3 linked regions of the Daphnia pulex genome follow. The protein of the gene in region 1 purifies or fractionates together with the protein of each later gene. This does not show direct contact. Links are inferred from orthologs where the notes say so. Each region holds a gene or a part of one and is shown in the gene's direction. Other genes may lie near its edges.

Region 1 (6,906 bases):
GGGGGGGTGAGTCCGTCGGTCGATATGGAAATGTCGCAGCTTTTTTTTATTTTTCTAAAAGAAATAAAAATACGGGGGGATTCAAACTTTCATTATTGACCATGGTAATTTTTTTGTTTGGTTTGGTTTTCCATACGCTTTCTTTTGTTCTACCCAATTTGGTGAAGTGCGGCTCCGCAATGCCCACCCCGAAGAGTCAGACTTTTTGGCATTTTCTGGTATTATTTGAGAGCGGAGTCATCGATCGATTTCCTAGAACTGAAACTTTTTGATAATGTTGTGTAAGCCACAACGTGATCTGCCGCCAAACTTTTTTTCCCCCTCCTCGCTCTCTCTTTTTTTTTTTAAAATTTAAACGGTTCACTACACACCCGAGTCCAAAACTTGTTTTTCACGTGGCAGACGTAAACAAAAGGATCAGAACCATTATTATTTTTGAAAAAAGATAAAAAGTTGCCAAAATAGTTTGGAACGAACTTTGATTGATAACGAGTGGTTACATTTAAAAAAGGAAAATACAAAAAGGATAGTTGAATCGTTAGAGCCATTAATAAAGGTACATTACTTGGTCAGACGTTATAATGAGTCCACTGTAACGAACATTGTGCATTTAGGTTAGTGAGGCTAATTTTGTTAAGATACGTTGTGATATTTTGGACGGAGATTACGAAGGTTTTCGAGATTATTCGTGTTTCAAGTCATGGATGATTCGACTATGGTCACACCTTCCCTGTAAAGATTTCGTTCGTTCCATAATTGAGTTTCAGAGCGCCGGGCGATGGCTTTGAGTTTCTGCAGTACAAATTAATGAAAAGTTAAGCAGATAGTATCGAGAACATTCAGAGCCAGTTCGCGTTTCCAAGCAAACAAGTCGTGTAGCATTTAAAAGATGCACGTTACCTGGTAATGCATATTCATCTCTTCGAAAATAGCTGATGGCCACGACACATTGCATGTTCGCTCGGTGAGTTTGCTCAAGCGGTTGACAGCATTCAAGAGGGCAAAGGCTCGGATTTCGACATCGCGTGGTTGAATGGGTGGGCACATGGAACGCAAGACGTCGTCAACTAATGGAAGGACAGATTTTGCAACCTAAAACACAACAGAACTTTCAGACACATAGTAATCTTTGGAGTGTCACAACTGAATTCCAACATAACAGAAATGCATGCAATTATTTTTCTTTTAGATAATGAGAGTTGTACCATTGCCAATTCAACAAATCTCTGTTGATCTGTAGAAGCCATAGCTGTAGTCACAAGCCTTTCACTCATCAAGTGACAGCCTTTTAAAATCTGAAGGCAATGAGGAACAATTCCAAGGGCATCGTCCACCCATTTCCATCTGTGAGATTCTAGAACTTTGTCCAAGTCAGGGTGAATCACTAAATCTTCAGGATCAATATTGTCCATGATGTAGTCTTCATCTTCCATCTCTAGGCTACTGATTAGATGAATATCAGACCTACTGGGAAATTCAAAAGCAAAATTACTCCCAACTGCGAAAGAAGTCTTTGTTCGTTTTTGAGATAGTTACCTCACATGGAATCCATTCTGCTGCACTTGTGGGCTTTGTTCCTTCTTCTTAAATTTAGAACCAAGATTAAAGCAACATAGTTTATATCTGCATATAAACAATAGCGCAAGGAGAGCAGCAATGAATACGGAAGTCAAAATCCCTCCAGTCACAACGACAACAGCGTGCATTGTTATGTGCTGAAAAAGAAAGCAATATAAGAAAATCTTTCGATCGTTTCAAGCGTCTGTCATATATTAGTTACCTTCGCAAAAACGACAAGTTTGGATGACACAGTGAACCTTTATAAGTACTCAATAACGAAAGTCCAAGTTAATAAACAACTAGTGCAAACATTTTTACGGCGGGATTAAAATTGTTATTATTTTATGGAAAAGAATGATGGTCAAGGCACTTGTTGATTTGTTATTTTCGGGGAACTTTTATAACGCCCTTGGCAGAATTTTAAAGCGCAATAGCATTTTCAAATGAATAAAAAATATTTAGTCGTGGGTTGAAAAATATTCTAAATTTACTAAATATTTTACTTGTTCATAGATATTCAATTAATTAAGTAATATAGATCCTTTTTAAGTTTAATAATAAATAAATCAACTGTTTAACTAACGGTGTATTACATGCATAATGTAGCAGACGACAAGTGGATTCTGAAAGCATGATTCTTTGGTCAACGGCGAGACTGAAACAAGGCGATTCACGTGCTTAATGTTTTCTGTGAATAATCGCAATAAGATTTTGTTGCAATTGATGATCAGAGAATATTTTTAAAATGAGTGAAAAAGAAAGTGAGAAGAATGGAAATGCCCAAGAGGTTCAACAGGTAGAGCATTGGCTGGCCAAACATTTTGAAATTTCATATCAGTCACAACTTGATTTTCTCTGTTTATTTAGAAATTATTTCAAAGTGCAATGAAGGTCACAAAGTACTCTAATGAATTACCAAGTAGTGGTTCAGACTGGGATTACTACCAAAGTTATCCAGCATATGCCAGCGCAATGAAAGAATTTGGTGGTCGCATTACTAACTTGTGAGTTACAGCTACCGTTAAGTATAAGAATTTTGTTTGATCCTAAAATTTTTATTTGTCAAGGATGACCACAATTTACGGACACTATGGACTAACAGGAAAGGTGGGAAAATTGGATTTGGAAGAGCAGATGGAGCTGGTGTCGGACAACAATGACATCTTGATGGAGCGAATAGTATGCTACTAGGAATTATTAGAATTTTACACCTGTTAAAAAAAACTGCTTTCGTTTCAGAATCTTTCTCTAGATGAAGCTGCTGGATTAAAAAAACAAGCAGAAACTGTAGTTGTTGAGATGATGGCAAAAACTACAAATATTAATGGCAGTTGGAATCGGCATTCTGTGGTATCTAGTTTTTCATACCAATTGTTGTCTTAGATGCTGAATCTATAAAGTATTCATCTTGTTTACAGAGTTCACCAGCAACCTCTTACAAACTTCTTTCTGCTAAAAACATTCTGAGACCACAGTTGAAATTCAAAGAGAAAATCAAGAATTCACCTGGACCGTTTATCCCCAAAATCAAAGATAAGCCTCATTCGTTGAAACCACTGGCGATACTATTAGAATTGAATGACTTGGGCGATGAAGAGTTTAGCCATCCGTACGAATTTGAATTGGAACGTTTTACACCGGATCCAAAGTTCTTCACCGTACTTGATGAAGTGCCTCCATTCCCAAGTGTTCAAGAAATCCCTTTGGTAATGATAGATACTGAAGAAGGTTTAAAAAGTCTTTTGAAAGTTTTGCTTGAGGAAACTGTGATTGCTGTAGATCTGGAGGTATTATTCACTGTCTAGCAGTTTTTAAATTGGTGAACCTTATTAAGTTCCTTAATTATTTATTGCCAGGCCCATTCATATAGATCCTTTCAAGGCCTAACATGCTTAATGCAAATTTCAACAAGCAGTTCTGACTACATTATAGACACTTTAGAGCTATGGGATCAACTACAGCCTTTAAATGAAGTTTTCTGCAACCCAAAGATTGTTAAGGTATGAGCTAACTGTTTAATTGAAGAAGTAACAAACTTATTTTGTTGGTTTTCGTTTAGATTTTTCATGGAGCTGATATGGATATTCAGTGGCTTCAGCGCGATTTCGGTATCTACGTCGTTAATCTTTTTGACACTTATCACGCTGCCAAATTATTGGGTTTTGCACAGCTGTCCTTGTCCTTCCTCCTTCGTCATTATTGCCAAGTTATTGCTGACAAACAATACCAGCTAGCCGATTGGCGAATTCGTCCCTTGCCTGAGCAAATGGTCAATTATGCTCGAGAAGATACCCACTACCTAGGATACATTTACGAAAAGATGAAAAAGGATTTGAAGATGAAGGGAACAGGAGATAATTTGCTGACAGCAGTTTGGCAAAACAGCCGACTGGTTTGTCTCAAACGTTACAGAATTCCCCCTATCACTGCCGAAAGTCACTTGGAATTGTATAGGCTCAGCAAGAAGATTTTCAACGAACGTCAGCTGTTTGCATTAAAAGAACTGTTTGCTTGGCGCGATCGAATAGCTCGAGAAGAAGACGAGAGCACTGGTTTTGTTCTACCCAAACACATGTTGTTACAAATCGCCGATGTTCTACCTAAGGAGATGCAAGGTATCCTTGCCTGTTGTTCACCTATCCCTTCGCTCGTTCGTCAGCATTTACTTCATCTCCATGGAATCATATTAAAAGCCAGAGAAATGCCTCTCGCCACTCTACAACATCACGGCCAGCCATTAGCCATCCCGAAAATGATGCCGACTCCATTGGATCAAGACACCGAAGACCCCCTTTATTGTATGCACGACTTGACACATTCTCAGGACATCCGAGACGACCTACCCACTCTGCTGAATCCGCAAACGATCGAATCAATGGCGTCAAGATCCGAGGAGTTTGGAGTCCGCGTCACTGTAAAAGAGTTCCCACAAGCTCTAATCTTCGCCGAATCGGCTCATTCTGGCATCGTGACAAATGTATCAACTAATTTTGTTTCTCCATACACGAGATATATTCGTGTCAGAGCTCTAAAGTCGGCCGAAGAAGCCGCAGAAGCACAACGTGTCGAAAAGTTGCGCCAACATTTCATGGAAGAAGTGGCGCATTCAACACCCGATGCCCAGCGTGAAGCGGAAGCGATGGAAGAAGAGGCGGAAGCAGTAGCAGTAGTTCCTGCGAAGAAAAAGAAGTTGGCGTTGAAAGCGCAGGGACTTAACAAGAAGAAGAAGAAAGTAGGGAGTACTAAACGAGTAACGGCTACTCCTGAAACATCTGTAATTCCATCAAACTCCAGCTCCCCATCGAAAAAGTCGGCGGATGCAGTAGTGCCGTCAGCATCCAAGAGCCCTAATCCAGCAACATCCAAGAGCCCCAATCCAGGAATGAAGAAAAAATCATTAAAACGACCGGCGAGCAAAGAAGCAGGAAATGACAGCGGGGCTAATTTCGAACCATTTGATTATTCCCAGGTTGATTATCACGCTTTTAAAAGGAGCGCACTGCGTGAAGATGGTGATGGACGCGGTCGGGGTCGAGGAAGAGGCCGTGGTGGCAAAAACCGAAGAGGTGGTCCCGGACATAGCAATAACAGAATCCACAGAAAGGGTGGCCAAAAGAGTCTTACGTATTCATCGAAATAAGTTAATCTACACTCTTTTGAAAATTAATTTTTGAACGTCGTATTCTTGTACTGTTGTGGATGAATCCGTGAACCTGTTTATCCTCTCTTAAAAATTGTTCGATTTTCAATCGTTTTGAAGTAAACAAGACACCGTTTGAAAAGAAAGAAGCAATTTGTCGTGTCAGATGTAATGGCGGAATCTGAATTAGCAAAAAGCTCGAGAACATTACCCTTTGGACGAGTCCTTTGGATATTTGAAATATGACGACGCAGAGTAATAACGGAAATCAGCAAAGTAATTGGGACACTTGTGGCAAGCTAATGTTAGCAGCGGATGAATAACCATCCGATTTTAATGGGACTTTAACCATTTGATGAATGTCGTGTTCTAGGGTTTCATTCAGGGTTTCCTCCCGGCTGATTGCAACATACGTACAACTACAACGAAATCCTTTCGTGGAATGAACGCGGTAATGACTTCTTTTGGGGTTTCCCTTGCACAGAGCTTGCGGTTTCGCTTGCAATGAATCTTTTATTTTTCTGATGATGCCGAAAAATTTTGATATCCCAAGGTTGATAACTCGCAAATTTATGTGGCTGGCCAATCCAAATTGCTTTCTGGCGCATTGCTCCGCCAATTGTAGTGAATGAAGAAGTGCACTTACACCTCCATCTGGACTTGAATCGCTTTTTTCAAAAGCGGGTAATGCGAAAAAGGGCAAGTTGAACCTTCAGTCGTTCGTCGCCATCTGAACAAGGAACACCGACAAACTACACCTCAATTATCCTCTAATAATCTTTAACATTCCACTTAGGTTTTAAAGCTTGCAGAGCAGCTGGTCGTCATGGAAGTGGGTCGGCGGTCTGATAATGGACAAATACGATGGGAGACTAATGGGAATGCAGTTTCCCTAAAGAAAATGGCCAAATCTCCGCTCGAGTGTGTGAATACACCAGTTCTTCCCACTGATCCACCGGGAAATGACCTTCGTCGTACAGACGCAACTGCCACATCGCTACATCCAGTTAAATCCGAGCAAGTGACAACGAAAAGTGATATAATCGATGAATTGCTTGAAGGGTTCCAACGGAAATGGTTGACCTTGCGATCCAACAAAGGGAGAGTTCAATCCACTACAATTTGGAGAAATGGTAATACAATTTTTATTTTGTCCTTTATATAATTTTTAAAATTTTTAAATTTCTTCTGTCAAACTGGGTTGCCGCATCTATCGCAAAAATTGTCCGATTTTTTTTTAATATTAAAAACTACTTAATATTCTTTAAACGATTTTGTGTTTCGGCTTTCGCTCGCACGATAAATTGTCGTGATTCCCACAGTGTAATCACGTGATCTAGCAGACGAGCATACAAAACACATCGATAAGAGTCAGAGCGAGAGAGTCGATGCCAGAACCCCCTGTAGGATTTAAAGCTGTCTGATAGTTTGAGGGGAAAAGAAGTCGGCCAATATTGCTGGCACAGTCTTAAAACAGTGAACTAAATTACGCTTCGTAGATTAGTGGGCGGTTTGAACTTGATTCCTGTCCAACTTCTTTGACTGAAAACGACAAGGCTCAAATAGGAAACGGGTTAAGTGTGAATCAGAAGTCGCTGTAGTCATTTGAGTGTTTGTGAGTCCCATTTGCCGGGGTTTGGCCTAGATATCTCGTTACTATAGAAATGGCTACAGCTGCACAACCGGAGAAAATCCTGGCACCAGCA
Region 2 (6,262 bases), on another chromosome or scaffold:
TGAGTTTTCATTCAATCATGCAGTATACGACTGAGGCAACCTGATCAATGTCAGGTTTGAAACAGTTGAGAACTGCTAGATAAAACAAGCTTTCTGCACCAAACAAATAATAACTTGCATATAACTTGCATCATGTTATTATCGCGGTAGAGAAAGCGACAGGCCCCCCCCCCCTGGGGGCCACAGGAAAAATGTATATGATGTATGTAAAATATTATAAAAATAAATTTTGTATGCAATAAAATATTCGTATCAATCTTTTTCGCGATAAAATTTTTAAAATTTCGTGTAAGGGGAATTTTTTTAAATTTTTTTTCAAAAACAAAAGTCTAGACTTAGCAGAAATAATGGAAGGTGGACTTTGAATTTTTCTGAATTTTTCAGTTTGTTGGACTTTGATTTTAATGAGAAAATAATTTATAAAAAGGAGTTTAAATTTTATTGAAATGTAAAAATTAGTTTGAATATTTTATCAGTGTATTTGGCAAGATCAATAAGTTTACATATAGCACTCAGAAATATTTTCACACATCATGCAATTATCGGCAGGAGAAGGTATTTAAGGAGAAAATAGAAACATGTGATTTATCAATTAATCTTGTATTTCAGCAATCTTTCACAAATACAGAGAAATACTTCAGAACTTAGGTGTTTAGGTCGGAGCAGTGGTGATATAGTAATGAAAATTGCAAAATACATATGAACTTAAGTTTGGTAGTTTGGAGCAGGGCAATACTTAAATTCGTCGATGTAGTGAACTAGGCAGCGTACGTAGTTGTGTAATAAGCGGCTTCTTCGGTGTAGTACTTGGGGGCTGCGGTGTAGCGTAGGCCGTGGTGTAGTGAACTGGAGCATCAGTGTAAACGTAGTACGAAAGAGCAGCTTTGGTGTAGCAAGTCGGAACTGCGTAATACTTGTCCGCCTCAGTTGTGGTTGTGTAGATCGGGGCAGAGTAGTACTTTGCCGCTTCGGTGTAGTATTCGACTGTCTTGGTGTAGAAATCAGCGGAAGCCTCGGTGTAGCAGCTGGGAACAGAGTAGTATTTAGGAAAATCGGTGCAATAAGTAGCTGAGAACAGGGCAATACTTTAGAAGCCTCGGTGTAGTAGGATAGGCAGTATATGTAGTCGTGTGGTGTCATCCATCGCCTAGATGGTGTAGTAACTCAGAGCAGAGTAATACTTCAGGGCATCAGTGTAGTGAATCGGGGCAGCGTAAGTTGTGGTATAAAACTCCGGTGCTTTGGTGGTGTAGTACTGGAAGACCTCAGGGCAGGAACCGGTCGTTGCGTAAGTTTAGTAGGAAGGCGGCGACGTTGCGGTTTGATTTCCGCCATACCAAGGAGACATCGCTACACCAGCAATCAACCCAGCCATCAACTATACAACGCCCAACAGGAGCACGACGCCATAGTTGACTAAACAAAATAAATTGAAACATTAATATTAAATAGTAACAGGCATATTAACAAATAGAAAAAAATATTATTGATACAAAACTCAATGTAAAAATAAGAATATTTACCCATGATTGCGAATCGGTTACACGATGAAGAAAGCAATTGGTGGTCCTTTTTTTGAAGACTCCTTTAACGCACAGTAATACTTCGGGACGTAGGTGTAGTAGCTCGGGGAAGCCAGGTTGTAGTGTAGTACTTGAGCGCTTCAGTGTTGTAGTAATGCGGGGCCTCGGTGTACTAGGCAGGGGTAGCACACATAGACGTGTAGAAATCCGGTGCCTTAGTGATGTAGTACTTGGGAGCCTCGGTGTAGTAAACTAGGCAGCATACGTTGTTGTAGGCGGCTTCTTCGGTGTAGTACTTGTGGGCTGCGGTGTAGCGTAGGTCGTGGTGTAGTGAACTGGAGCATCAATGTAGTATTCCTGTTCAACGTAGTACGAAAGAGCAGCTTTGGTGTAGCAAGTCGGGACTGCGTAATACTTGGCCGCCTCAGTTATGGTTGTGTAGATCGGGGCAGAGTAGTACTTTGCCGCTTCGGTGTAGTAATCAGCGGGAGCCTCGGTGTAGCAGCTGGGAACAGAGTAGTATTTAGGAAAATCGGTGCAATAAGTAGATGAGAACAGAGTAATACTTAGGAGCTTCGGTGTATGAGCCTCGGAGGATGGGGCAGCATGCGTAGTCATCTTCCGTCGCCTTGGTGGTGTAGTAACTCGGGGCAGAGAAATACTTCAGGGCGGCAGTGTAGTGGCTCGGGGCAGCGTAAGTTGTGCTATTCAAGTCCGGTGCTTTAGTGGTGTAGTACTTGAAGACCTCGGTGCAGTAACTGGTCGTTGCGTAAGTTGCTTTTGGGTAGTAAGGCGGCGGCGTTGCAGTTTGGTATCCGCCATACCAAGAAGACATCGGTACACCAGTGGTCGACCCAGCCATCGATGATTCAACACACAACAGCAGCACTACGCCATAGTTTGCTAGACAATTAGCAATTTTAACATAAATATTACATAATAACAGGCATACATAAACAAAAGAAGGATTGATACCAAACTCTACGTAAAAGACAGAATATTTACCATGCGAATTGACAGACAGAGCGCTGCAGTTGTTGCCGTGTCGGAGATGCTCCCTCAACTGATTTACCTTCGCCTTTTCTCTCGCCTTTTATACGATTTTTTCTCACCCTCACCTCTTAAGCCTTGCGGTTATTTTACCTGCTTGATAATGATGCTACACGTGTCGTTCTCACCCAGCCTCTACTCCACTGCATGACACGTTTTACGTAAAGATCTCCGTGACCTTCAAGTGTGACTGTCCTTTCCTTTTGCAGGTCGGACGTTGCTGGGGATGGGTCTACAACAACCAATATCAAAATGAATACCAAATGGTTGTGTAAAACGTCTCGTTCTCACCCAACCTCTACACCATTGCATGACAAGTTTTACATAATGATCTCCATGACCTTCGAGCGTCAAGGACATGCAAAAGCTGGCCTTTCCTTCTGGAGGTTGACGTTGCTGGGGGGTGGGTCTACAATCAATAACCAATATGAAAATGAATACCAAATGTTTATGTAACACCAAGGGTTTGGAGAGGTCTCTCCATGCCCATGGTAAATGGTAACACGTATAATGTAAAACGTATGGTAACACGCATAAAATCATGTATAATGTAAAAATAAATGGCGTGCAATCAATGTGCGTACTGTAGTAAAAAAACGCAATTGGCAAATAAATAAACCAATTAAATCTGTCTTTAGAATCTGAACCTGACGGATGTCCGACAACGTTGCCCTAATGTAGCAGACAACTGTCGAGTGCAGACATATACAAACATACTAGCTTGAAAACTAGTAAGGTCTGGTAAGGTTTACAGTTTACTTACATTCCCGTGGTATTTTGATTAAAGTCATCTGCGTTTGTTAGTTGTTACTGTTTTCTGTATCGTTGGTTACCTTTGAGCTCCATATCAATGGCAGAAATACTTTTAAGTGAAGCTGAGAAAGCATTCATTCATCATGGTGTCCAGGTATAATTAAATTCTGTCGGTCTTGCCAGTAAAATTTTTTGGTCTGTAATACTTAAATCAATCAGCTCTTATAAAAATAAATTGTCCTTACTTAACAAAATTCAATTTTTGAAATATCCAAGGATGATTTACGATGTGATGGTAGAACAAGGCTGGATTATCGCCCTATAATTCTTGAAACTGGATTAGTTTCAAATGCCAGTGGATCGGCAAGGCTGAGACTTGCAAACTCTGATATTCTTGTTGGAGTTAAAGTAGAGCTAGCTTCCCCTTTACCTGATAAGCCCAAAGAAGGAAGGCTGGAGTTCTTTGTGGATTGGTCTGTTTAAACAATAAATATAAATAGAATTTAAAAGTTTTTATGTTAATAGTACTTTTTGTTAATTTAGCTCTGCAAATGCAACACCAGAATTTGAAGGGAGAGGTGGAGAAGATCTGGCAAATGAAATTTGTAGATTCCTTCAAAGATCTTATGCTTCAGGTGATACAATTAATTTATCTGAACTTTCTGTCTTGACAGGACAGCAATGTTGGGTCTTGTATGTTGACATATTGGTAATGCTGGTGTGATATTTCTACCAATCAACAATTTCTCATGAAATATTTTATGGCATTAAAATAGATTCTTGAATGTGGAGGGAACCTTTATGATGCAGTTTCATTGGCTGTGAAATCGGCTCTTTATGCAACACAAATTCCTTCTATTAAAGTAGCAACTATGGACGGGGATCAACCTGAACTGGAGCTCTCTGATGATCCTTATGATACCAAGAGACTGAACACAGAGAACATTCCTTGTGTAGTGACTTTGATGAAGGTTTGAAAGTTAAAGTTTTAATTTTGAAATATTTAGTCGAATACTGTGTTTTCACTTTCAGATTGGAAACCATTACCTAGTAGATCCAACACCAGAAGAAGAATGCTGCAGCTCTTCTGGTATTGTTGTGGCGGTCTCAGGCAATAAAAAAGTTACTGCCGTTAGGAAAATTGGCTCCGGAAGTTTGCATCCAGACAGCCTGGTGTCAATGCTCAAGGTTCGAAATTTTTCTATTCTTTACAATCCCGCAGTCTAATGTTTCTTGTTTGAGTAGACGGGAAGTGAAGTAGGCGCGGTGGTCAACACAATTTTGATGAAAAAGCTCCTAGAAGAAGAAACGTTGGAAGTATCCCAAAAAGTTGGCTTCATGCGGTAAATGTCTTTTAACACAAAAGGATATATAATTGAATATTTCAAAGGAATTCTTGCAATTACAAATTTCACGCGACATTTGTGTCCTGCTACTAAATACAATTTCTAATGAAATCATTCAACCATTTGTACGACAATTGTCATATCAGGTGCACGACCAAGCCAAAATAACACACGAAGGCCCCAAAAGGTGAGCCTCATCTGTGTTTTATCCCACCTGTTAAAAAAAATTCACTGAGTTATCACGTAAATGAAAGAGACATCTTAAAATTACCACAATCGCCAGTCAAATAGAAATTGTTGCAAGACTCCTTGTAGACGTTGACCAAATGAAGCACCAGGTACGATGAAAAATCCTCGAGTAGCACTTCTGGCCATCAATGTATAACGATCGACAAGACTGCCATGGTCTTTGGTTATTGCCCTAACTGTATTTATGTTCCTTTATAAAAAAAAGGAAAAAACAAAACAAAACATAAAATAAATCTGTTAATTTTAACTTAGAAAGCTGCCCTTAGTTAAAACCAGTAGGCTGATACAAATTTATCAATTTTGCTGCATCACACAGCTCTCTAAGGATTACAGCTTATTGTTAATTCAATATCCAGTATTACCTAATAGTTAAAAGCATTGTTCTTGGCATGGAACGAAGGTTATTCATGATCATGTCGAAACGCTGCCCCGCCATTTCTTGCATGTATTTCAAATCAGTTTCAGAAAGTTGATTTAAGTTGGATAAAGCGAATTTCTGATTTCCGATGGGTCTTTGAAGAAGCATTTCAGCGAAGAGCAAATAGTCTATACAAAAAAGACCGCGAAAGAGTTTCTTCGTTTTATCTTATTTAAAGTTTCAATTTTAAAACAATTCTTAAATTAACGTATTGATGCAGCAAAATTGAGAATCTGTTGTACGCTTCCTGACCTAGTTCTAGACCAACAGACCAACACTGCAATCAACTAAATACCTAAAAATGAGCATCAATTGAGAAGGCATGGCCCGGAAGCTATCCATCATCCTTTCATGAATTTCATCCATTTGAATTCGAATTGCTTGACGTTGTTCGGTTGTCATCTTCTGCCATTCTCCTACTTTCGGCCCCTTGTGATCGTAAAACGAAGCAAAGACCTGATTCACTGAATCGTGTTCAGTTGGCCATGGTGGCGCTGAAATATAGCGCTGTGACACGGCCATGCAGAACAATCGGTAATCTAGTCATAATACAAACCCATTCCAACTTTCAAAATTGTTACGAGAAAAAATTTGCCTAACGAAGTTTCAAATGACAACGGAAATACTGATAATAGAAAGAGAAACTACTAACCATTCACTCCAAGGGCAGCGGCATGATGCTTCATTCCGACGTGATCGTTTAGCACTATTGAAGACCACAAACGACAAAGAGATTTGCGAACAGTAGACGGAAGCTCTTCATATAATCCGTGATCCAGCAAAACTATCTGTGCGTCGCCTTTTTTCCCTCGACGAACTAAGACTACAAAGAGATAAGTAATTAGAGTCTCACTGAAACAACAAGAACCAATTCTTTGATTACTGTTTCCTGGGTGTGGATCAGCATGGACAAAACCAGTGTG
Region 3 (7,048 bases), on another chromosome or scaffold:
AAATATCGATTAGTACTCCGCTATCGCCTTCATCTTCTTTATTGAGCCTATCTAAGAGTTTGTACCATGTAACATCAAATACATGGCTTTAATCAAGAAAATTTTGTATTTTGTATTTTTAAATTCACTGGGGGGGTTTTGTTTTTTGTTACGTAATTAGAAGGGGGGGTGTCTGTTTTTTTGTTACGATCCGTGACAAGGGGGGGAGGGGGGGTCCAAAAAGGTGAAAAATTGCGTTACGTAATATATGGACAGCCCCTTAATACAGATACCATTTCCTGAAACTTCGTGCAGTTCCTTATTTTTCCTTTTGTATTTTTTAAGTTTATTGTTTATTTAAGCAAAAAGGTTGAGCTCTGCTGCCGTGATTGCTTGCGTCAAAAGTAGGAGGGTTCGAATAATTATTTTATATATTGATTGTTGATTGCTGTTGATACATGTAGTAGCAAAAAAGATTTCAGATCTAGAAAACTGGCGCGCGCCCAGCCAGGGATCGTATTTATTAATGTCGCTAGATGGCAGCCTAAGTAATTTTACTCGATAGAGTTTTACAAAGAACCTTTAAAGTTATTATACCGTTTTGTAATGGAGAAGGAAAATTCTTAAAGATCTAAATTCAATTCGAATAAGTTCCTGGTTTGTTATTTCGTATTTTCTCTGTATTTGTGTTAGACTTGCAACATTGTGACGAGTTGGAACTTTGTGTGGTTGCCATAACAACAGCAGAATAGCTTGATTGTCGGCGAATTTTAACTGAAAAATGACAGCTGTAAGAATTTTTTGCTCTACGCTAATACCTATTTATTAACTGTAATAACTAATTAACTTCCGAAAATTTATCTCAGTTCGTTACTCTTGCATGACGTTTACTTTTTCTAGCTTCAAAGAGAGAAAGTGTCGTCGATTATCCCTTCATTGCATCCGTCAATCAAAGTAAAGTAATTTTGTTTTTTTTTTGCTTCCCTTACTTTAGGAAAAGAAGAGCGCAAAACAGGCCACCAAGGGCCAGAAACAGATTGTCGAAGAGAATGTTGCAACACTCAACTTCTACAGAAATATGTCTGTTGTGGCAGTGGGTGTATACTTATTATTCTCTGCCATTTTTTGGTCCACCACCTCTTCATTTGATATTGTATAGTTGATTTTTTTAAATTATTATTTAAAATTTTAATATTTATAGCTCACATTCTTTTGAATTTCAGTTCTTAATATGTCTGAGTTCATTTGCTCAGTTTTGCTGCTATCGCTTTATGGCCTACATGGCTAGAGCCAAATACAGTGAAACAGGACAATTGTTAGATGGTGGAATTGATCTCAACATGGAATCTGGAATATCAGAGTAAGCTTTCAATTGTGATCTGATTCATGAATTTGTATGTCAACACATTTTCTTGTTATTAAAGGCAAATTAAAGATGCCATTATCCTAGTAAGTGCAACCGAGGTTCTGTCTTCCATCTCCAGTTACTTTTGGCTTATCTTGTTGGTGGTAAGTTATTCAGAAATTCATTTCATTATTCTTTATTACTTAAAATTATCTTATTTAGATTCCCTGTCGACTGTTTCACTTGGCTTGGAAACATTTCCTTAGTCCATGGTTTTTCCAGAAAGCCCCAACTGCAGAGCAGGATGCACAGGATGACAAGAAGCAACGCAAATTGGAGCGCCGCATCAAGCGTCAACAGCATTAAAAGAGATACTAAAGATTCCCTGTACTGGCTTTGTATTTAACATACCTTTGAAATAAATCAGACTCTGGACCTCTTTATTTGTAACAGCTATTTGCGCCGGACGTGAGAAGATCGCGGGCGAGGTGATTCTTCTTCGGATTCTTCGTCGTCATCGTCTGAGCCTTCCATTTGTTTTAACTCTTCATATTCCTCCACCTTCAGTGAATCCAGGGACTGTAAAACAAAATCCATATCACAGAACTGATCAACACTCCAAGATTTAGTATGAATAGATACCTCGGCTCGCTGTCTGTAATCAGAGAAAGACTTGGAACGTTTGACCTTGGACGCAGTTTCTGTTGGTGTGTTAGGCAACGCAATTGACGGCACAGATTGGGCTCTGGCAGGACTGGATTCTGGAAGAGGCATATAGGTCCTTAAAGTGTTGCGGAATTCTTCCAAATCTGATTCCACATCGACGTTTTCCAACTGCTGATAGGCTTTTGTAAGAACGGACAACGACGTTGAGTGAAAACTCATTTCGATTAAAGCCAATCGCTTCATCCAGCTAATAAGATCCTTGAGCTTCTTCTTTTCGAGCTTGTCGGCTCGTTCCTCTATAGACTTGCCTAGTCGGACAGATTGTGTTGTGGCGTGTGCTAAATCACTTTCCGCTTTGCTTATTTGCATTCGTCCCAACGGGTTTTGCTGCCGTAACTTGTGAACGTATTTTAATTGACTTATTTCTTTTTCGTACGCAATGCTACAGCTTCGGACGTCCTCCATGGCCGACTTGCAGACGCCCGCGTAACTTGAAATCTCTTGGATGACAGTTTCCTCCAAACGGTTAACGCAAACATCTCTTTTTAAAAATAAAGTCGGTTAATTAATTTGACTAATTTTTTCGTTACGAATTCAAACTCTTACCTGTAATCTGAAATGAAAGAAATGTTATCGGCAAAGTCTTTGATACCTTGACTGCAATTTTTGTTGACATTTTCTGCTGTAGCGTACTCATTTAATGTCTGTGCCAGAAAATCGCCTTTATCCCGCTGACTGAATTTAGATTTCACAGGTTATGTTTATTACGAACACCATCGAATTAAGGTATAATTAAACTAACCCGGCTATTTTTCTAGTGTATAACGCTAGAGCGGTGCAGATCTCACCAAAGTGTTTTTCGATTACTTGAATTCTATTTTGTATGAAGCGCGTTTGGGTTGCACTTCAAGATTTACAAGGGTTGGAAACAAGAAATTATGTACATGTTTAAGATTTTTCTTAAATTACAGCAAAGATAAATTTACCTTGAGTGTGGCAAAGAGCTGGCGCTTGGTGAACGAAACATTGTTTTTTCAGCGTTTATAAGAAAAAATACTATTCTTCCGTGCTTGTTTTGATTTCCATGTTTCCGTAACCGTGGTAACGGATCGTTCCAAATTTTAAACGCTGCTGCTTGGTTTGCTTCAAAATATTGGAAATAATTGTATTATTATAAAATTTAAGTTTTTTTTAATGAAAAATTATCTTTCCTGATATTTAGGAATAGAAGTTAAGATAATCATAAATCTATCTAAATCTAGAGAAAAGATTTCGAGTGGCAACGTTGTCTGTCATTCACGCACGTGGTCTGCTTAAATATTGTTCTTTTTCAGTCGGGCAGAATTATTCGTTCTTTTTATTTCCATCGTCAAATAGTGCTTAATTCTTTTATACACTGGTTTAGTTATCAACTGTTTATATTTAAAATGAAAGAAACACCGCTATCGATTTGTGAGAAACAAACTGTAATCCAAGGCGTCAAAGAAGGACAAGTATTTCTCACAGGTCTAGTTGTTGTTTTTCGAATTTTGTTAACATTGTTTACGATTCATTCTTAGAGAGTTGACGGGCGTAGTCTCTCGGAACAGAGAAAGACTTGTATTACATTCGGAACAGAATGGGGATGCTGCCAGGTCCTTCTTGGAAACACAAGGTATCATGTTTTAGTGTCATTTTTCAGTACTTGTTTCTAACGTGTTTTATCCTTAATGAATCTTTTGTCAGGGTGATGGCGCAAGTTTCTTGCAGTGTCCAAGTCCCGAAATCATCAAGAGCAAATGAAGGCATGCTGTTTATCAATGTTGAAATGTCTACTATGGCAGCTGAACATTTTGAAGCTGGCAGATTAGGACAACAAGGCATTGAAGTCAATAGGCTAGTTGAAAGGTGCATTAAAGGTAATGTACATACATTGCCACTCATACATCAATGGCCCTTATTACATTAACTATTTTAAAAACAGATTCCCGCTGCATTGATTTGGAGAGCCTGTGCATTTTGGTTGAGGAACAAGCTTGGGAAGTGAGAGTTGATATACATGTACTGAATCATGAAGGAAATCTGATTGATGCTGCCACTTTGGCTGCTCTAGGCGCTCTTTGTCACTTTAAAAGACCGGATGTAACTCTCGATGGTCGGGATGTTATCATCCATCAGCTAGATGAACGGGATCCAGTTCCACTCACTATCCTACATCATCCTTTAACTCTTTCCTTTGCTCTCTTTAACCAAGGGTAACTAGATCGCTATATTTTGTTTTCCCTTTGGAAAATGTATTTATAACTTTCCCCATAGGAGAATTTGCGTCTTGGACCCAACAAATTTAGAAGAACGTTCTGCCGATGGAAAACTTGTGATGGGTTTAAATGCATACCGAGAACTTTGCACATTACAGATATCTGGCGATGGGGTGTTTATCCATAAAGAAGCAGTTATATCGTGTGCGAATGTGGCAGCATCAAGAGCTGTTCAAATGGTTGAAATGTTAAAAAAATCTCTGGCTGACGATGCCGCCGAAAGGTATTCAGCCTAATTCTTCGGCACCCGAAAGTGAATAACATTCTCTTTTTGCAATATTTGTAGAGCCAAAGGAAAGTACAGTGGGTTAGTTGCTAGCGTAGCGCTGGAAACAGAAAGAATCACCACTCAGTCACAGGCCGAAGTGTATTTCAAGGCGTCACATCATAAGGCTGAAGTATCGAAAAAAGAACCTTCGGCAATCACGAAGACGAAACTTGTAAACGATCAAGGAGTTGTTACATTAGAAACCTCTTGCGATACGTCCAGCAGCGAAAGTGAGATGGAAGTTGAACCACTCCCACCTGTGGCAGTAAAAAAGAGGGTCTACGAAGAAATAGGTAAAAACATTGGTTTCGTCCTGTATCTCGTCTATCGGCATTCAAATCTAATTTTCTCACCGTTTCCTTAATTACATAGATGTTGGAAATGATAGTGAAGAGGAGCCTGTCATGTTGGTAACCAGCGAACTTACATAAAATGACTATGATGCACCGATTAAACCTTTCGTTCGAATGTATTTGAATTTACAAGGTTAAATTAATAATTAAAACATGCCAAGGAGAAAACAACAGACGCACGCATATTTTTGAGTTCCATCCTTTCGCTAGTTCATCATTTCGAAGACAAACGTGCTTTAACGTGATTTGCACTGGGGGAGGGGTTGAAGCATAGACAGACCACGGTTTTACAAGTTGTCATTGTTTGGTTTCAGATCGAGTTTGTTTTTATTAGATTTGACGGTGTAAAGGAATGAGTGGAGGGCTTCCTTCTCCACCACGGGAATAGTCCGGAAATGGCGCATCAAGGTCTATCATTTCAATCACGAGGATTATTGGTAAGTAATTAATAATAATAATAGTAGGTTAACTAGGCAATATCTGTACCTCTGCAAGTTGTGCTTTATTGAGGCCTGGTCGAGTGGGCACTTTGTAATGTCGCTTGTAACGCCTTAGCGTATTGATTTGAAGTTGGAAGAGATCAACTTCTGGAGCATCACGTTCTCTTTCTTGCAGACTGAGCGTGTCTCGATCTGTTTCGTTGGAGTCGTCTTCAGAATCTTTCCTCTTGCGCTGCCGGACTCGAACAGACTGAATTAAGCTCTTGTGGTAATCACAAATATAGATGTGTCTGGCCTATAATTAAGAATAATAATGCACAAGTTAAATAATACTTCATGAATCTTGAATAAAACTGACAAGGGAACATCCACAGTGGTTGTGCCTTTATTGGTCTTCCAAAAGCGGAGGGAATGCTCAGGATTTCCAACACTTTTAAAAGTCCAGGGCAATTTGTGACCAAGTGAAAGCCTAATGCAAAAGACAGGTAATTTCTACTTGGACACGAAGGACCCTTGAATAGGGGGTTTTCTTGTCCCTACTGAAACTTTGTGTGAATAACTTACAGAGGAGTCCATGTGTAGCCGTAGTTTCCTTTGTTGTACAGTCTTTTGAATCCGTTTACTAATCAAACAAATGTTGAAAATAATGTTTCTTGATCAATTAGAGCACACATACCTGTAAGAGGCATTTCCAGCCATTCTAGGACATCTCTCGCCATCGTCAATCATCTGATCAAATTCAATCAGGCAGCAATGTTGATCATGGCTTCGCTTGGAATCACGCGAATCCTCCTCACCCGAACCCGTGCTAAACCCATTCATCTTTGAAATATGCTGAGTGCTCCCTCGCACGATTGATCGAAAGTCACAACAAAGGCAATCTCGAAAGTTACCTTTCACTACAACGTACACAACGAACTGTGGACGCTTTTTCACGAATTGCGTATGTAAGCCAAAACAAACTGTTTACTTGAAATCTCACGATTACCGTACAACCTACTAAGAAAACGGAGGAAATCTCCCCTTAATTCTTCGCAATAATTGACTTTTGTTTAGCTACTTTTCAATGTATCCAATCGAGTTTTTAGGAAAAGTGCAAGCCTACACAAGTCGTTCGTCGTTGAAACACACTTGTTATTCTCCCTCAAGCTACGAAAACGGTATCCAGACGCGCTTGATCGAGAGGGCCGTCATGTCTCCTGAAAATTCTAAACTCCCTTGTTGCTGGTTCTTTTTTATAGAAAATATTTTTACCATGTGGCTTTCACAAATAATTTAAAGTAAAACAAGTTTAACTTGTAAAGTATTTTCAAAATTCAGTTGATTTTCTAAGACGATTGTATGTTAAATAAAACATAAAGAAAAGTTCGAGATATCGCGCCCTCTGCCGTGGGCAACGTGTACTTCATTATCATCACAGAAAATGTTGAATTTCGACTGTTGACCCTGTGCCGAAAAACGTTTGTTAATAAGAGTTGTGTGAACATTTTCCCACTTAAAAGCGACTTATTTCATAGAATGTAATCATCGTATGGCCTACGTGTGGTTTACTTGAGCTGTGGAATGTAAAATTGCAAATGTTCTGTAGTTCTGACTGTTATCAATAACATACAACAACAACATCAACGATTCTTGGAAGATAATCGTCTGCCAGGAATTGAAGTAGGTTTAATAATCTCATCTCTCGTGGGTTTTGTTTT

The links. Proteins that work in one complex are often made in the same cells at the same time.
Region 2: the proteins of exosome component 10-like (region 1) and exosome complex component RRP42-like purify together in Homo sapiens (affinity purification with mass spectrometry; 6 studies listed by BioGRID and IntAct, counting the BioPlex papers as one, with this or other methods). This does not show direct contact. The link is inferred for Daphnia pulex from reciprocal best matches to the Homo sapiens genes EXOSC10 and EXOSC7.
Region 3: the proteins of exosome component 10-like (region 1) and exosome complex component RRP45-like purify together in Homo sapiens (co-immunoprecipitation; 7 studies listed by BioGRID and IntAct, with this or other methods). This does not show direct contact. The link is inferred for Daphnia pulex from reciprocal best matches to the Homo sapiens genes EXOSC10 and EXOSC9.

The regions. Positions count from the first base shown.
Region 1 is NC_060022.1:1,680,404-1,687,309, reverse strand, and holds exosome component 10-like, read left to right. Parts: upstream 1-2,122; 5' UTR 2,123-2,305; coding exon 2,306-2,356; intron 2,357-2,427; coding exon 2,428-2,564; intron 2,565-2,627; coding exon 2,628-2,739; intron 2,740-2,799; coding exon 2,800-2,910; intron 2,911-2,978; coding exon 2,979-3,347; intron 3,348-3,416; coding exon 3,417-3,560; intron 3,561-3,619; coding exon 3,620-5,200; 3' UTR 5,201-5,346; downstream 5,347-6,906. Other genes in the region: transmembrane protein 98-like, read right to left, coding at 694-792, 901-1,092, 1,206-1,467, 1,537-1,706; 6-phosphofructo-2-kinase/fructose-2,6-bisphosphatase 1-like, read left to right, coding at 6,027-6,333. UniProt on the Homo sapiens protein: Catalytic component of the RNA exosome complex which has 3'->5' exoribonuclease activity and participates in a multitude of cellular RNA processing and degradation events.
Region 2 is NC_060020.1:2,140,713-2,146,974, reverse strand, and holds exosome complex component RRP42-like, read left to right. Parts: upstream 1-3,170; 5' UTR 3,171-3,314; exon of another isoform or gene 3,315-3,377; 5' UTR 3,378-3,423; coding exon 3,424-3,480; intron 3,481-3,602; coding exon 3,603-3,799; intron 3,800-3,869; coding exon 3,870-4,035; intron 4,036-4,102; coding exon 4,103-4,297; intron 4,298-4,358; coding exon 4,359-4,514; intron 4,515-4,571; coding exon 4,572-4,673; 3' UTR 4,674-4,783; downstream 4,784-6,262. Other genes in the region: uncharacterized aarF domain-containing protein kinase 5-like, read right to left, coding at 4,784-4,886, 4,944-5,111, 5,635-5,878, 5,992-6,162, 6,223-6,262. UniProt on the Homo sapiens protein: Non-catalytic component of the RNA exosome complex which has 3'->5' exoribonuclease activity and participates in a multitude of cellular RNA processing and degradation events.
Region 3 is NC_060019.1:12,892,639-12,899,686, forward strand, and holds exosome complex component RRP45-like, read left to right. Parts: upstream 1-3,277; 5' UTR 3,278-3,417; coding exon 3,418-3,483; intron 3,484-3,549; coding exon 3,550-3,644; intron 3,645-3,715; coding exon 3,716-3,888; intron 3,889-3,953; coding exon 3,954-4,224; intron 4,225-4,285; coding exon 4,286-4,510; intron 4,511-4,573; coding exon 4,574-4,848; intron 4,849-4,927; coding exon 4,928-4,965; coding exon of another isoform or gene 4,966-4,986; exon of another isoform or gene 4,987-5,041; coding exon 5,042-5,182; 3' UTR 5,183-5,195; coding exon of another isoform or gene 5,196-5,318; 3' UTR 5,319-5,345; intron 5,346-5,394; coding exon of another isoform or gene 5,395-5,643; intron 5,644-5,912; coding exon of another isoform or gene 5,913-5,970; intron 5,971-6,013; 3' UTR 6,014-6,024; coding exon of another isoform or gene 6,025-6,170; 3' UTR 6,171-6,970; downstream 6,971-7,048. Other genes in the region: transmembrane protein 208-like, read left to right, coding at 761-769, 974-1,132, 1,203-1,339, 1,404-1,488, 1,547-1,690; protein FAM92A-like, read right to left, coding at 1,778-1,903, 1,967-2,531, 2,597-2,725, 2,793-2,894, 2,977-3,017; histone deacetylase complex subunit SAP30 homolog, read right to left, coding at 5,196-5,318, 5,395-5,643, 5,913-5,970, 6,025-6,170. UniProt on the Homo sapiens protein: Non-catalytic component of the RNA exosome complex which has 3'->5' exoribonuclease activity and participates in a multitude of cellular RNA processing and degradation events.